Rhinolophus ferrumequinum: one gene and its partner. The protein of the gene in region 1 purifies or fractionates together with the protein of each later gene. This does not show direct contact. Links are inferred from orthologs where the notes say so. Each region holds a gene or a part of one and is shown in the gene's direction. Other genes may lie near its edges.

Region 1 (8,869 bases):
TGCCCAGATCCCTGCTCCAGGAGGATACAGCCAGCCACAACCAGAAAGAGGTCATTACTGCTCATCCTGAAAATACTTGGGCTGAAGCGACTGGGCAGGCCCTCCTTGGTGTTTGGCCCCCACAAGCTGAGTGGCATCCCCTCACTGGACAGCCGCCTCCAACCGGTCAGCCTCCCTTTTCTGAGCAGCGCCCTTTCCCCAGGAAAACCCACTTTTCTGGACAGATTCCCCTAGCTGAGCAGCATCCTTCCACCAAGCAGCCCCCCCTTTCTGATCAGCCCCCTCTCACTGGAACACCTCTTGCCAGGCAGCTTTCTCTCACTGGGCAGTCTCCCTTTTTCCAAGAACCCCCCATCTCCAAAGAGCCAATCCTCTCAAGAGACCCCCCTACCACCAGGGAGCCTGGCCAAGCTTCCATCCTGTGCCAGGAAAGTGAGTCCTTGGGTCTGCCCACCCATGTGGGGGTACTTCAGGTGCCCCAGATCCCTGAGAAAATCTGTGTCTATGTGAGCAAAGAAAAGGTGGGTACCAGTGCCGCTCCAAGCTCCAGCACACATTGGCTCTCATCCTGGCAACATGACAGCTCTCACAGGGCCCAGGAGCAGCAGCTCTCCCCAGTTACATTCACCACACCTGGCACTGGCTGCAAGGTCTTGCCCATGGCCATGGTGGGCACTGAGGCGCAGGGTCCCCAGTCTAAGCTGACAGCTGAAGACATTACAGACTCGGCCACGGTCACACACCTTGGCCTGCTTCGCGGGGCCTGCTATGAGCTGGTGTCCACCCTGGATGCTCTGCCGGAACAGTCCCCAGTGCTTCGCCGCCACTCACTGGGCTCCTACCAGGACATGGCAGCCGTGGTAATTGACACAGGCACAGGTTTCACCAAATGTGGACTGGCTGGAGAGGACCATGGCTTCAGTGTGGTGCCCTCATGCATCCAGCTGCTGCAGCAGCCAGTCCAGGGCCAGCCCAGGTATGCGGTGCCTGAGAACCGAGAGGGCTCCTACTCAGTGCTGAATCGAGGCGTGGTCTCTGACTGGGACGCACTGGAGATGCTGTGGCAGCACCTGTTCTACTGCAGGCTAGGCATGCAGCCTGAACAGCTGGCAGTACTTGTGGCCGACTCACCCGTCTCCCCGAGCACCAACCGAGAAAAGGTGGCCGAAATACTCTTTGAGCGTTTCCATGTGCCAGCCATGCAGACAGTGCACCAGGCCCTGCTGGCGCTCTATGCTTATGGGCGAACCACTGGGCTGGTGCTGGGCAGTGGCTATGGCACCTCCTATGTGGCACCCATCCTCAGTGGGGATCTGGCCCCACGTGACATCTACCGGCTGGATGTGGCTGGTGCTGACCTCACTGAATACCTGGCTCAGCTACTGCTGGCAGGTGGGCACTCACTGCCCAATGCAGGGCTGGTCAACCAGATTAAAGAGGCCTGCTGCTACGTGGCCATGGATGTGACAGCTGAGATGGCCCGCACCCAGGGTCAGGCCGGGGTGGACTTCGTGCTTCCAGACAAGCAGGTCATCACGCTGGGCTCCGAGTGTTTCTGCTGCCCTGAGGCCCTCTTCCAGCCCAATCTGCTAGGCCTCAACCGGCCAGGCCTCGCACAACTAGCCCTCCTAAGCATCAGCCAGCTGGAGGCCAAGCAGCAGGAGCAGCTGCTGGCCAATGTGGTACTAGACGGTGGCAGCACCCTGGTAAGAGGCTTTCCTGAGCGCCTGAGACAGGAGCTGGGCCCCCGTGCCACTGTGCTGGACTTGCCCCACCGTGTTGCTGCCGCTTGGATTGGAGGCTCCATCATGGCGTCCCAGGACTCCTTCCAGAGCCTGTGGCTCAGCCGCCGTGAGTATGAGGAGGAGGGCCCATGGGCCATCTACAAGTACCATCTGTGAGCACATAAAAGTTCTGGTTCTGCTTATTTTGAGCACTGTGGCATGTTTTAGGCCCAAGGTGGTATGGAAGGGGCAGGAGTCCTGGCCCAGGGTCAGGGATGGCGGCCTTGGCACTCCTAAGGCACACCCTGCCTCTGCACACTGGAACTCCATGGGTCCTGGCAGCCTTCTCTAGAGAGCCCCAGAGCCCCTTGGCATTGGCTTTGGTCTCGCCTGACAGGTCTCGCCTGACCTTTACTGAACCCCAAGGGCAAACACAGAGAATGGCTGCTGTGGGTTTTGCCCCGTTGCCCTGGTGACAAGCGCAATTACCCTTGATTGCCAGCTGGTTGCCATGGCAATTTCAAACATAATGTAATAACCCACACAGCCTGGAGTGAGTCATGGGGGGGCAGCCCCCTCCCCTAGCACCAGAGGAAAAGACTACTTGCCCTCCCCCATCTTGGGCCCTCTACAGGGGGGCTGAGACCAGCAACATAGACGACAGCCCCAAAGTTCCAAAGATGGCTGGGGGCCTGGAGCATTTTGTGTACCCGAGGGACAGTCCCTGTCAGAGTCTTGGCTTCTTGGGGTAGCTGGCCTGGTAATGCAGGTACCTCCTAAAGTCTGAACCTTGGCTGGAGCTCTACACTAGGTTGGCAGGGGCTTCTGTCCACCAGTCAGAATACGAGGATATAGGAGTGCTGGCTTTGGTGCCCTGGAGCAGGAAGTTGGGGTAGGGGGCAGATAAGTCCTGGCCCCTGGGGATGGGGTACGACCTGAGCTGGGGGCTGAGGCTCTGGCCTGCTTTGTGTGCTCTATGGATACAGCAGCTCGCGCCTTATCCTGCTTCTCTGACTATCTAGCTCTGGTGGGAGCCAGAATAGTCAACTTTGGGCTCTCCTCCTCTTCAGCCTTCCAACCCAGGCAGCCCCTGCCCATAGTGTGGCCAGGGTACAGGCCTCCTCAGGAGATCCTCATAAAGGATACCGGGCAATGCCAAAGCCAACTGCTCTTGCTCTTACCCCAAACTGCCCCGTGTTAGGGCCTCCCGCTATTCCTCTGGCGGGGGGGTGGCTAGAAGCCACGGCCCCTGACCTTGTCTGGCTCTGAAAGGGGAGGTAGGAATGAAGCTCTGTCGGCCCAGTCCATAGTCTGGAAGAGCACTCAGCTGGTGTTGCTACTTCCTGCCCAGAGAGGGCAGTTGGAGATTGAAGCCAAAACAATGAAGCCCTGCCTTGCCTGTGCTTCTCTGGTTGGAGACTGAGGGACAAGCCATGGCTCAGTCTCAACCCTGGGTTCTTGTCTTTAGGTTACCCTCTCCACAGAGGGCAAAGACCTGGCTACACCTCCCTGCCCTCCCACCCCACTGCCCCCCACCTGAGAGTGAGGGGCTACCCTAGGGGGATGACTAGAAACAACCGATGACATAGGGTCATCACAGCCCCTGCCCGCCCCTGGGCATAGTCCAGCCTCTTCCCATGTCCTGTCCTCACAACCCTGATTCAATCTCCACAATCCCAAGGCCTGTGTTAGGCAGGAAGGGGACCAGTGTCTCCAGGGACCAGTGGCTCCAGAGACTAGCTACAGCGTCCGTGAGCACGTGAGAGCAAGCATGCCTGGGTGCACACAGAATGCAGACACACGTGCCCCTGGGCCCCACTGCACACACTGTGCTAATGCCTTCTCCTTCAGCATAAGAGCGCAAACACACAGACACACTTACACGTGTGCACATATACCCTGCCACGTGCTCTCACCCACAGACACATGGAGTGTGCACAGGACCAAGAAGAGGTGGAGCACTGCCAGCAGGAGGCAGGGCTCCCGCAGCCACCTTTTCCCCTGCCTCTGAGTGCCCTGTTCCAGCCTCTCCTCAGTTCAGCTTCTCCATGCCTGGATATCCATGACCTCAAGGTCATGGAAAGACAGAAAACACGTGTGACATGTGTGGGGTTGGCAAACCATGGCTCGGCTGCACCATCCAACTCAGAGAGCCATTGTTTCAAGGACAGCGGGCAGACAGGAGGCAGGACTGCATGCTAGGCTGTCCCTTCATTCTACAGACAGGGACTGAGCATACTGAGATGAGACACAGTCTCTGCGCTGCAGGTGCCCAGCCTGCCAGGAGATTCCCACCCAGTAGTGGGATTGGTGCCATGACTGAGACCACTCAGAGGTGGCACCAGCCTGGCCTGGGACAGGTGACCCAAAGCCAGGGAAGGAAATGAAGGGCTCCTCAACAATCCCTCTGTAGGAAGATATAGAGGGGCCTTGTTTGAATAGTCATTTGCCAGGCTAGTCCTTCAGCCCCAGCCCCAGCTTCCTCACACGGGCAGTCACTCTGTCAGCAGCACGGGGAGCCACGCAGGGGAGCCGGACTCAGTATGGTACAGGGTTTGGAGATGGCTGCACCCAGGATGGGGTCAGAAGGCTCACTGGAAAGGTTGGGTTGGGTGGATCCCCCAACTCCAGGCACCGAGAAGCCTAAGTCTGGCCTTCAGATAATGGCCTCAGACCTTGTGAGGGGAGCAGGGCAAGCACTGGGTCCACAGAGAAATGGCCAAGGACTTCCTTTAAAGCTTCTGCCTGGTAGTTCTCAGCCTCCTCCAGTCAGTGGCCGGGTATGGTCAGGGGCCAGGTCTCCTGTATCCCCACATCCCAGCCCAGGCCGTTGATGGTGATTCTGCTCATGAAGTGTTTGAGGGTGATATAACTGGGAAGAAAGCAGATTCCACACCATGCCATAGGTGACTTTTATAGCTTGAGAAATTCAGTGCTACATAGAAGGGACAGACTGGGCCAGCCACCCTGGCTGGGACTTGGTAATGGGAAAGATTTTGGCCTTGCGGGAATGGAGGTTGGGGTGGAAAGGAGACTGCCACCATGGTCTGGGCACAACCCACTCCTAGTTACGGGTTGCTACTCTATAGCGCAGCTTGCGCTAGCGACTGTCCACTTGGTTCTTCTAAGCGGGTTCCACCCTTAGGGTCAGGTTTTGGGAGCTGGGCAGTGCGCCGGTCCCCCGGGACACTACCTGCCAAGAGATTTCCTGTGCAGCTTTAGGACTCAGGCTTTCCCCACACTTCCCACTCCCCAGCCCCTACAATGGGCATAGGAAGAAGGCCCCTCCATTAAGCCCTGTGGCGCAGTCAGTCCCAGGGCCTAAGGGAGCCCTTTGAGAGCCTGGCCCGGGCCGGGCAGCCCAATGCTCACCGACTCCGCTGCCACCCCTGGTCCGCCTGCATTCGAGTGGGATTCGGGCCTTAAGCTCGGCCAGGGTCGGGGCGGAGCCGGCTGAGGGAGGCCCCGCCCCCAGCCCGCCCCCGGCCCGGGGTGCAAATCCGGTGCGGGCGAGCGGCGGGAGATGCTGGAGGTTCGCGAGCCCAAGCGGCTGCAGCTGGCGCCGCGTCTGGCCCGCGTGCCCGGAGCTGATTCTGCCCGCTGACCCCGGAGCCCTCGGAGCCCCCACTGAGCCCGCGATCGCTTCTTCCTGTGATCAACCGGCGCTGCAGGTGAGGGCGGGCCGGGCGGGGGAGCGTCCCTGGGACGCACGTTGTGAGGTCTTGGGGGATTAGGTCTCTGGTCGCTTAATGTACAGGGGCCCCGCGAAGGCTTGGGGCCCCTGCGGGGGCAGAGCACACAGGCTGTGCAGATTTGGGGGTCCGCGTGCGGGGTTGGGCTAAAGTTGCCTGTCACCTCTGACAGCTCGGGGGTCCCAGGGGAAGCCTCTGAGACTCAAGTCCAGGCGAATCTCCTCTTCCTTGCTCCCCCCGCCCGCACCTTGTCCACCCCGCCCCCGTCTCGCTGGGCTACTAATTGTGAAAACATTAACCCTCGGACATTCGTGGTGCCCCATGGCGGGGGGCGGAGGGGGGTAGGGGCCGAGGGCTGAGTGGTCCCTCCTGACTCCCAGAGCCGCCTCCAGCCCCTCCCAACTGCTCCCGCCCCCCTCCCTTTCTCAAAGCAGTCACTAATTTCCATGACAACGGAGAGTTCTTTATGGGCGACAACCTGGAGGGGGCTGGGCGGGGCTGCCGGAGTGGGGGAGGGGGCTTCAAGCCCCTGGGGACCAGCAGCGCCCGAGGCAAGATCCAGTTTTCAAGCCTTAACTTGGGGCCCAGCCGGGGTCCAGGACACCGACCTAGCGCTGGATGGTGGGGGTGGGGGACACATATGTCTCTGCTGGGTGGTGCGGGGCTTGGTGCTCACACGTGTGCCTCCCGCATGTGTGTTGCTGTGCCAGCGGGGGCGAGTCAGCAGCACTGGGAAGGGGGTCAGGGTGGCACCGCGGTGGGAAGCAGGGCTGTGGCTGGGGGAGGTGGACAATAAACCAGGGAGTTTCTGCCTTCCCCAACCTGTAATGTCTGGCAGAGACCCTAGGCTCTCCCAGCCCCCCATAGCTCTGCCAAACTGCTTTTGTCTGCACCCCTTAGGAAAGCCTGCTCCACCGGGTTCTCTTCTGGGGAGCAGGGCCCTCTGTCCCTCACCAAAAGCTCAGTCTACAGCAGTCCAGCTCCTGTCCTGCCACCCTCCTCCAAGGCCCAGCCTTTGAACCCCCCAAGGACCACCTGCAGAGACCTGGTGCCCTCCCCTCTCATTTGATTCCTGTCAGCTTTAGCCGGCTGTTGGGCCTCAGTTTCCTCATCTGGGATAATGGTGTCTCCACTTCCCTCAGTGTCAGGCAGAGGTCCCTCTCCTTTCACGGCATTGGGTGTGGACCCCCAGGTGCCATAGGCTACCTTTCCCATATCCACCTCTGGCCCTCCTATCCAGCCCATATCCTGGCCACCACTCACTAGCAGGCAATCAATCAATCCTTGCCCTGGGAGAAGGCCACTGAGTCCGTGATCTCCATCCAGGGAAACTAAGGCAAGGGGAGGTGGGGCTGTGCAGTTGTTTTCCTGTTTCTAGGTTGCTTAGGGTGCTGTTTCTGGCTCTCCTAACAGGATCCACTGTTGGGAGGGGGACAGCAGTGGCAGAGAATTAGGCTGAGCTGCAAGAGGGGCCCTGGGGACCTAAGGCCTAGAGAGGATAGCAGAAGGGGGCTGGGGGTGTGGCTGGGGAGTCCAGGTGTAGCTGGGCCAGCTGAGAGGAGGGCTGTGAAGGGAAGCAGCCAGGTCTCCGAGCTTCATTTCCATCCCCCACGCTGGTGCCTTCCCCACGTGGGACCTGCCTTACCTAAGCTGCTGTGATGACAGGGAGAGGGGCTGAGGAGCTGCTCTGACTTAGGCGACTGCAGTAGCTGGCCTCTTCCTTCGAGCTAAGGGTGCTTCCCACACCAGGTTCCCTGCATGTCTAGGGCGTATAGGAGGGTTCAGTCTCAAAGTCCAGGTACCAGGCAGCAGCTCCTGGCCCAGGTGTTCAGAGCACATGGCCGTGGAGGCCCTAGGGCTCTGTTGGGCACCCACAGGCGCCTTCAGAACCCGATGCCCACCTTCCCCCCCCCCCCACCCTTGTGGCTGCATCCTTTTTACTCTGTCGCCTGTTTGCTTCCCTTCCATCACAGGTTGTGCCTTTGTCTCCCTGTGGCCATGTCTCTCTTTCTCTTTTTATAAGTGTCTCAGTACCTCCACCTCCCCTTTCTTGATAGGGACCAAGGTCACAGAACCCATGGGGAAGGAACCAGGTCAAAGCCTCAGGGAATTCTTCGAGAAGGGGTTTGGCCAACACTTCTCCCTCCCCCTCCTCTTGTTTTAAAACTTCCATCACCATTGTAACCCTTTGCTCTAGAGCCTTCCCCTGCATTTCCCCTCCTCCACCCACAGGGAAGCAGGGACCCCAGGGAGTTTTCCTTTAGGGATTCAAAGGTGCCCAGGAGGGGTCAGCTGGCTCTTGACTCTGCCTGCATATGAGGGTTGAACTTTCTGATGGCAGCACTGGACGGTATACCCACCCCTGAGACTGGAGCCCGCCCCCCACCCCCACCCCCGCCACACACACACACACACACACACACACACACACACACACTCCCTCATTAGATGGCAAAGGGTCAGCAGCAGGAACTATGGACCATGGTTTAGCTAGAGCATGAGGCCCAGCCAAGGCAGCCCCCTGCCCAGTTTTCTGAAGCAGCTGGAGGGTAGGCCAGAAGCTCGGCTCTGCCTCCTGACACCAGACCACGAGAGTGAGGTCTCTATTTCCCCTGGTCCTGCGGGTGAGGCTTCAGCAGTGGGCCGGCAGGGCTTGGGCCTAAGCGTGTCCACTGCAAACCCAGCCCCAGTCCCTGAGAAAGGAAAGCAGGGAATGGGGGGGGGGGTGCCCGCAGGCTGGTGTTCACAGCTGCCACTAAATCGGGAGGTGTTGCCGACAGTTGTTGGGAGGCAGCTGGAGGCCTCCTGGGCCCCTCCTGGCCTCCCCAGATTTGCTGCAAGCTCTGGAGCCCCACGTGGCAGAGGAGCAGGGCAGCAGGAAACTCCTGTTTATGGCTAAGAAAGGTGGGGCCTGAAACAGGCTGACCTTAGTGGAGGAGGGAACATGACTCCTAGGTGGGACCTCTGGGCCTCTGGACTGATCTCTGTCCCATTCAGGCTTCCCGTGGGCCAGACTTGTCTTAGGCTGTAGTAGGGTCCCTAGAGGACCCTTTATTACCAGGGCACCAATGGGCAGGGGCTCCCTCAGGGGTGCCCGAGGCTCATTTGCCTGAGCCCAGTGGTCAGACTGGAGAGTGCTTGGCCCTCAGGCTGACTTAGAACCAGCTGGAGGGCAGTGGCAGTGCCCTGCTCTGTACTTTCCCCAAGTTCCCTTTGGACAGCCCCCTGTGCACCATTTAGTTTCTCAGCAGAGAATGGGAAAAGCCACATCTCTAGGGAATTGGGACTCCTGTGCCCTCCCATGTCCAGTGTGGACCTGAGGCAGAGCCCAGGTCCTCTGTTGCTGGAAGGAGAGCTCTCCACTAATGGGTGTTGAGTCTGGGCTCTCCAGGCCATGGGAATGAGAAATGCAAACCCCTTTCTTCCCGGCCTTCCAGTTCTTGAAGCTGTCCC
Region 2 (8,218 bases), on another chromosome or scaffold:
TTTATCAATGACATCATGCTGATTAAACGGGTTGAACAAGAGGTGGCTAGCAGGCTGGAGGCTTGTGGTCCACAGCATGGGACATTAACACTATAAAGAATCAGGAACCTGTCCCTTCATGAAAGGTTTTAAGGGACCAGTGTTCAGGGCAGTGCTAGAACATTCCCTTCAAAATAAAAGACAAATTGCTGCATCCCCTACAAGACAGGAGAAAGCAGAGTTCCCAGGAGGCTGCTTTGGATTCTGTAAGCAACATACTCCACGCTGAGGAATATTTTTCTGGCCCATGTGCTACGTGACATAAAAAGCTCCCAGCTTTACAAACTGGCAAAAGAAAGGGCTCTGCAGCAGATTTGAGTAGTGGTATAGAATATGGCAGATTCTATGTCAGACTTGTGAGTTTTAGAAAAGATGCAGTCTGGAGTTAATGGAAATCTTAGTAGAAAAATCCCAGGTCGGATCCCTGGGGTTCTGGAGCTAGGTTGCACATCTTTTAAAAATTAGCTCTTGGCATGCTAATGGTAAAGAGACAATGCTTGACCAGGGGATACCAAGTGACACAAAATGAAATGTATCTCGTTGAACACATCCTGTTATAAATTCTGAGGGGCCCTGTTGCAATTCATCACAAGATAAAAGAATTCCATTTGGGATGAAGCAAAAAGAAGACCAGAGGGCACAAACAATCTGCATGATTGTTGCATCAGTACCCCTCAGCTCACACTGATGGCCATATGGAGTAGGAGTAGTGTCTTCAACAATTAGTTAAAAGAAGAAAAAATGGCTGAACTTAGTTTACAGATGAGTTGGCTAAGTATGTGGATGAAAGTTGAAATTGGACAGCAGCTCCATGACTGACAGCCTCACTCAGGAACAACCTTGAAAACAGAGGAGAGGGACAGTCTTTCTAATGGGCAGAGTGTCAGGGGTGCACCTGGTCATCCCCTTTGTGTGGAAGGAAAAGTGACCCAATGTTGGGACATAAACAGATTAAGAGGCAATGGCAAGTAGCCTGGCTGGCTGGTCAGAGGGCTGAAAAGGAAGAGATTTAAAAGACTGCAGACACTGAGGTCTTACAGGATTAGAGGTATGTGGATACACAACATATTAGTGTGAAAAGTGAGCAAAAAGTACGAAGATTTTATTATCACATATCAATGTCTCAGGAAGTACACATCATGGAAGAAACACTACACAACCAAGTAAACAAAATTACTCAGCTGGATGATGTTAGCCTGTCTTTGTTAGTGGCCATCCCAGTGCTGGCACAATGGACACTTGAATGAAATGACCATGGAGGCAGAAATGGAATCTAAGCATAGGCCCATCAGCATGCAGCCTACTTACCACAGCTGACCTGTCTACTGCTTCATCTGAAACCTCAACCTGCCAGCAAAGGAGACCAATATTGAGCTCCTACTATGTCATCATTCCTTTAGGAGATTATGTAGCCCCTTGGTGGAAAGTTGACTACACTGGGATCTTTCCATCCTGAACAGGACAGCAGTTCCACCTCATGGAAATAGATTACTTATTTTGGGTATATATTTGCATTTCCTACCAAACAATCTTCATCCAGCACCACTATCTGAGGACTTACAAAATGCGGGGTCCACATATGTGGAATATAATACAATGTAGCATCCAAGCAGAGAACCACTTCACAGCAAAGGTGCTGCAGGAGGGTACCAGTGATGATGGGTTCCACTGGTTGTATCACATGCTGCATATCCCAGAAGCTGCTGGCCTAATAGAGCACTGGAATGGCCTCCTAGGGGTGCAGTTCAAGCACCGGCTAGGAAATAATACTCAGCAAGAATGAGGTGCTGTTCCCCAGGATGCAATAGACCTTGGTATGGCAGCTCAGGGTCCCTAACAAGAACAGTGCACAGGTCCAGGAAACAAAGGATTAAAACAGGAATAGCCCAATTCACCATCCTTCCCAATGACCCATTAGGGGATGTAGTGTTTCCCGTTCTTGCAACGCTGATCTTTGTGGAATTAGCGGTCCTAGTCCCCAAAGGTGGCATAGTATTGCTAGGGGATTCAGCAAGAGTCCCACTGAATTGAACATCATCTGTTGCCTAGACACTTTGCACTTCTTGAGTTCAGTGACAAGTAGGCAAGAAGAAGGCTTAATGCTTGGCAGGAGAAGCTAACGCTAATCAGCAGGAGAAGGTAGCCTTGATGTTATACAATGGGGAAAAGTAAGCATATGTGTGGTATTCAGGTGATTCACTTGGGTACCTCTTAATAATTAAGGGGATTCACTTGGGCACCATCATGACTGTAAATGGGCAAGTACAGCAACACCTGCCTGAGAAGGAGTTTATTACCAGGGGCTCCAATTTCTCAGGAATTAGGGTTTTCACACCACTGTTTAATCACTGAGACCCACAGAGGTGGTACATGAGAGTGAGGGAAATTTAGAAGGAATAGTGGAAGAAAAAAATAGTGAGTTCAGCTGTAGCTCCGGACCGACTGCAAAGATGGGGGCTGTAGTTTGTCCCCTAACTTCTTTTCTCGGTTTCCCTTCAGGAAGAGGCCCATTGAAACCCTGGAGGAACTGTTCCCTGAATGTGTATAGAGAGTGGATCTACCTGGTGGACTGTGACAGACACAGAAGTGTGCTGCTCAGACACCTCTTCAAGAAAACATGCCTAGTTGTGAAGAGTGTCATTAGGTGACAGCCTTCTACTGTTATCATTTTCAAGTCCACCTCAGCTTTTGATTTGAAGCCTCTCTTCCTGAAGTGGCTCCAGCCAATGACTGAGCAAGATTGTGTTACAAGGGCCTATCACTTTATTGCAGTGTGGATAAATGATACCCCTGTCCCATCTAGTTTCCTCCCTTTTCCTTTCACTTTTTTACATTCTTAACTCTATCTCACTGTTTGCTTCCTGGAAGACCCAAATGATAAACCTAAGTCTTTTCTAGCTCTATTAAGCTCCCCTAGGCTCAACTCTAACTTTCCTATTTCTTTTTATAACAGTAGAGGTGGTATTGTGCTTTTTTCAGATGTGCATTGTCATGCAGGGTGTCATGCGGGGGTCTCAGCTCCCGCTTCCCACCTAAGAACGCAGGACATGCTGAGGCCAAAGAGGAACACCCACAGAGCCACAGATAGGGGAGTCATACCACTATATTCTCGCTAGCGGCTGGGTTGGAGACACAGGAAGCAGGAGCTACACTATCCGCAACCTGCTGTCCATTTCTCTCTGCCAACCAACCTCACTTGCTAGCTAACTACACTCTGCGCTTGCTAGCCACCTTCTTCTTGCTAGCCCCCATTTGCTGCTAGCATAGCCACAGCAGTTATATTAGTGGCCAATGGCTCACTGGTTACAGCTGACAGCCAACTAGCCACAGCTGATGGCTATCCAATCACAGTTGATGGCCATTTACTTCCTGAACCAGCACCTTTCCACGTGAGGCCGAGAGCCTGGAAACTGCACTCCTGGCTCTGTCCCCACAGCATACAAACGTTTACCAGGTTCATCTTCTGTGTACTGTATTGGTACAACTAAAATCAATTCACTTAAATATTTTAAGACACCAAAATGCACTTTTACCGATAGCCAAATCTCTTAAATATTAAAAAAATAGATAATACTATTATATAGGAGGAATTATCTCAACCACAACAACTGTATCAACTAATTCAATTCTTAAAACTACTCTGTGGGGCGGGTACTACTATTATTCCTAACAATCAGGAATCACACACAACAGTGTGACATAACCTACTCCAAGGTCAATCATCCATAAGTATATCAATAGATTCGTGACGTAAACATAAGTAGTCTGGCTCCAGTGTCCTCCGTAGCATTATACTCTTCTGCCTCTAGGAAAGGATTGGTAACACCAGCACACTAAAACTGTAATAGAGAAGTGTTTGGAGAAACCAGGCCTGGTTTAGACAAGGTTCTGGAACATAAAGATACAGTCGTTTTAGGGAATGCTAGATCTCAAAACAGTAACAAGTAAGTGACACTTTAGGTTTTGTTACTATTGAAAAGTAAAGCTTAAAACACATTGATGTTTTACCTCTTATCTCTCCACAGATAGCTATTTCCAAGTCCGCCAAAAAATGTCCTTCTCATCATGATGTCTGGCCAGCTGGTACCTTACCCTAAAATAGAAGCATCATCTTCTACAGAATTAGCTTCTCCTCATTACTTCACGCCATTTATGGTCCAATATCCTCCCACTTACTTGGGCTTGACATCTTGGAATTTAGTAGGCACTTAACAGTTGGAAATATTTTTGTTTATAATGGGTTCTTGATCTAATTACCGTAAAAAGTCTGAAAAGGGTGTCTGCTGTTCTTAAGATTTTCACGGAAAATTACTACTACGGTCTACTTTTTACAACTGCAAATAAATAGTTTTGAAGTATATTTTGCTTCTTCCTAATCACCATCAGGCTCCTGACTAGCCGCCTGAAAGCACTTTCCGTCGCTTATCTGAAGAACTACAATTCCCGGCGTCCATTGCGGCCTTCTCAAAACTAAGACAGTAATTGCTTACGTCATTTCCACCCTCACAGGCGGTGGATGCTGGACTTTGTAGTTTGTATCAACTTCTCTTTTTTGTCGCCGCCTTGGGAAAGGGAAAACGTGGCCGGACACACTGCTCTGAATCTGGTATTATGATGTGTTTTTTTAAAAAATAAGTAGGATAACGTATCAAAGCCAATGTAGCATCAGGTTTGTATGCATTTCACGTCCCGCCTTCCCCCTACTGCCGGGGCCGGGAAGGGGAAGTGACGTGTATCCGGTGTAATGGCGGCGCGGTGGAGCTCCAGGTAACTATCGAACTCCGTAGACTCGCTGCAGCCTGCGAACCGTAGTGTGGGTGGTGGGTTGCCGGACAGGGTGGGTGGTGAAAGGTGCCCAGGAGTGGGTGCGGGACTGCCGGTGCGGCCATCGGTGCCGCCGGGGTGCGCGTGGCTCTCTTCCGGCCGCGCGCCGGCTGGCGAGGTTGAGGTGTCAGAGCTGGTCGGGCGGAGGAGTCTGAACGGGTGGGAAACTCCCTGTCCGCCTGCGCGGACGGACCTCGCTTCCTCCGAGGTTCCTGGTACTGTCTCTCCACACTGCATTTGTTCCTGAAATCCAGCACCAACGCTGGCTCTCTCCTGTTGTGTGCAGTGCGTTTCGGCCGCGGATTCCTTCGAGCCTCTCTAGTCGTTTCGGCTTCCACAAGGCCCCTTTCTCAGTGCCCGGCCCCAGACTATGGGAGTAGGATTAATGAACTGTATAGTTCGTTGAAAAATAGAGTAAATTTCATTGTGCCTTTTTCCGGCGTAATTTCCCCGTGACTGCTCCTTAAAATTTCATTAGTCGTTTCTTTTTCATACATTTGCCGCGTAAACAGTGATTCTTCCTAGTGTTTAGTCCTGCGGACTCTGTTCCTCAGTGTGCGGAGTTCTTCCTCTGTCATACTTGACCATCTCATAAGTTGATCTACCTCCAAAAATGTGATAATTGCCAAACTTGGGTCTCCATTCTCCTCCTCTTACCGAGCTCAGAATCCTACAGTACACTTGCATATATAATGGTAATCTAATGGTTAATTTCACTGAGTCTTTTAACTGCAATATCGCTTTACCTATTTTCACTTAATCCTCACAGGTCTTTGAGCTAAATGGAGAAGGAAAAAAACTAGGGAAAGGCTATTTCAGATGCAAGAATTAGGTGATTGAAAGTGCGGTAAGAGTGCCCTTTGCATTTTTAGGCGTCCACAGACTAAAAATAGGTAAACAAGCAATCTTAGGCTTCAGAAGACCAGGTAACCTGCCTTAACTGTATTTAGACTTGTCTTGTTTTAGGATTGCCTGTGAACTGAGGAGTTAACCTCAATTACCATCCTACTTTGGAGACACAGATTTACAATTGGCATTAACTGTGATTTTGATGTAAAGAGGAGTTGTTAACCTGCAGCATCTGTAGGAGGAGGAGACCTACTTGTGTTGATACTGGGTGATGGACTAGTGAACCCATGATTTCAGTCTTGCTTCAGCACGTGTTAGGTCTGTCACTTGGGGCAGGTTACCTAACATCCGTAGTCTGAAAAATGTGTGTAACAGTAATACCTTGTTTTGAGGATGAAGAAAAATAACGTGTATAAGGCACTCTGCACAGTGCCTGGCGTATAGGTTTAGCTATTATATTACAGTTACTACTATGGTAGAGTTGATGAAGTCACTCTGTGCCTCAGTTCTTGTTCTTTGGTTATGAAGGTTGCCCTTCCACTTTTAAGTGTCCATGCCACTTTCACGGAGCCTTATCTGGCTGAGGCTCTGAGACTTCAGAAGCCAAGAATCTTGATCTAATAACCTGGCCCAGTGATTCTGAATATCTCCTGAATCAGCAGCATCAGTAGCTCTGTGGAACTTGTTCAAGCAATGAAAATTATTGGGCTTCATCCTAGTCCTGTTGAATCAAACTGGGGAGTAGGGAGTCCATCAGTCTCTTTTTAATCAAACCATGCATGTGATTCTCATGCCTGTTAGTTTGAAAGCCACTGTTCCAGCCCATCTCCTAGGGATCTGATATGGTCCAGCCCCCGCCCCACCCCCAGAATCAGGTTTGCTGCCTTCCTTGCTTCAAAGTATTTGAGCTACAACCCTATTACTTGTGCCCCCACGTCCTTCCCTACTTTGGATAGTTTAGCTCCAATCACTTCCGGAATTCTGACACTTCCTAGACTACTTAACCGTCTTTCCTAAACCACCCTTCTTAGCTTTGTCAGTTTTCGCAGCTGCTGGATTGTTAGAGGTTAACTCTCCTTCCTGACGATTGAACATTGCCAAGTGGTCTACAGTGGCTGTTGTAGCTGAGACCACCTAAGATAGTACATGGTAACACATTGTTACTTAAAATGCCCATGCCTTAATTTGAACATGATTTTCTGTTTGTTGCCCACTTGTATTTAGACTGCATTTTGTATTCTGTGGTGTATCCCTAACTTGTTAGAAGTCGTGGCTAGCCTAGAGTTAGTTTAGGGAAAAAGTGGTTATTGGTAATATAGCTGATCCCACTGATGACTTTGAGGGCTTCCTTATTGCATTTCTCTCCTTTTCTGTTCAAGTCTGAGAATCCTAGTATGGGAAGGTGATGGAACAAAAAGACCTCTGGCGTATTAGTTTCAGCAAACGTCCAGACTTACTAAATCTATAACCCTAAATGTTTTATTTTAGTATATGCATTTCTCAGGTGGACATTGAAGAGACATTTCAATGCCGACAACAAACTTTCAAAGCATTTTCTTCAAAAATAACACATCAGAAGAGGAAGCAATGGATTAAAGCAAGCCTTTGCTGTTTGTAGCCAAGCTAGTAAGACTTTCCCAGTTAACAGATACCAAAAACATGGTGTGAGCTGCCTTGGCCTGGGGACATATGGGCCTCTGTGATTATAGAATGGGTTAGCTAATGGGAACGGGAGACCTGGTGAAGATTCACGTTTAACTTGACTTTGAGCCTGACTCCTAAATGAATCAGGCTAGACAGAATTCAGCACTTCCCTCTGAAAAGTTACCTTAGGAGTCAGTCCTTCCCTGAATTAGTTTGTCAGGGCCGCTTTTTCTCAGGAGAGCTGGCAACAGGAGCCTCTGTGGTGGAATGCAGTGCTATGTGTCTAGGGACTACTCGATAAATCTTGGTGGAGGCCAGCACCTCCAAGTTTTCCTTAGAACTTAGAACGTGGTTCACTAAATGGCTCTTTAAATAAAAATTAGAAAGCCCACTTTCAGAGCTGTGCTGTGTGAGTTGGCAGAACAGATCCAGCCCATATGCTTAACTGGGCAAACTGAAGAACACATTTTGGGGGCGAGGCAACCAAGTGAATGAAGGTATACAGCAGATTCAATAATTGGACTTGTTTTGTAAGTTAAAGTAACTGCACCTTAAGTGTCCAATTTCCTCTTGCAGTGCCATCAAAAGAACTGGTATGTTTTTCATCTCAATAGGAAGGTCTCTTCAAGCTGATCAGGTTCACGTGGGGTGAAGACTGGCCGGCACCTGAGAGTGCTATCTTTATGCCATTGACGACAGGCAGCTTGGGGGTTCCCAGAAGTAGGGGTTGATAGGTGGGACAAGGCTGCTGTGGTGTCCCTTGGTAAAGAAGTCGTCAGACTACCATTATGGTGGGTTCTGGGTAGGCAAAAACAGGAATCATAATCAAAAGTCCGTACACCCTGTTTTATATTTCATTCTA

Evidence for each region. Proteins that work in one complex are often made in the same cells at the same time.
Region 2: the proteins of CAMKV (region 1) and CWC22 purify together in Homo sapiens (affinity purification with mass spectrometry; 3 studies listed by BioGRID and IntAct, counting the BioPlex papers as one, with this or other methods). This does not show direct contact. The link is inferred for Rhinolophus ferrumequinum from reciprocal best matches to the Homo sapiens genes CAMKV and CWC22.

What each region holds. Positions count from the first base shown.
Region 1 is NC_046300.1:6,609,534-6,618,402, forward strand, and holds the start of CAMKV (caM kinase-like vesicle-associated protein), read left to right. Parts: upstream 1-5,202; 5' UTR 5,203-5,395; intron 5,396-8,869. Other genes in the region: uncharacterized protein LOC117037109, read left to right, coding at 1-1,901. UniProt on the Homo sapiens protein: Does not appear to have detectable kinase activity.
Region 2 is NC_046291.1:46,208,622-46,216,839, forward strand, and holds the start of CWC22 (pre-mRNA-splicing factor CWC22 homolog), read left to right. Parts: upstream 1-4,751; 5' UTR 4,752-4,806; intron 4,807-8,218. UniProt on the Homo sapiens protein: Required for pre-mRNA splicing as component of the spliceosome. As a component of the minor spliceosome, involved in the splicing of U12-type introns in pre-mRNAs. Promotes exon-junction complex (EJC) assembly.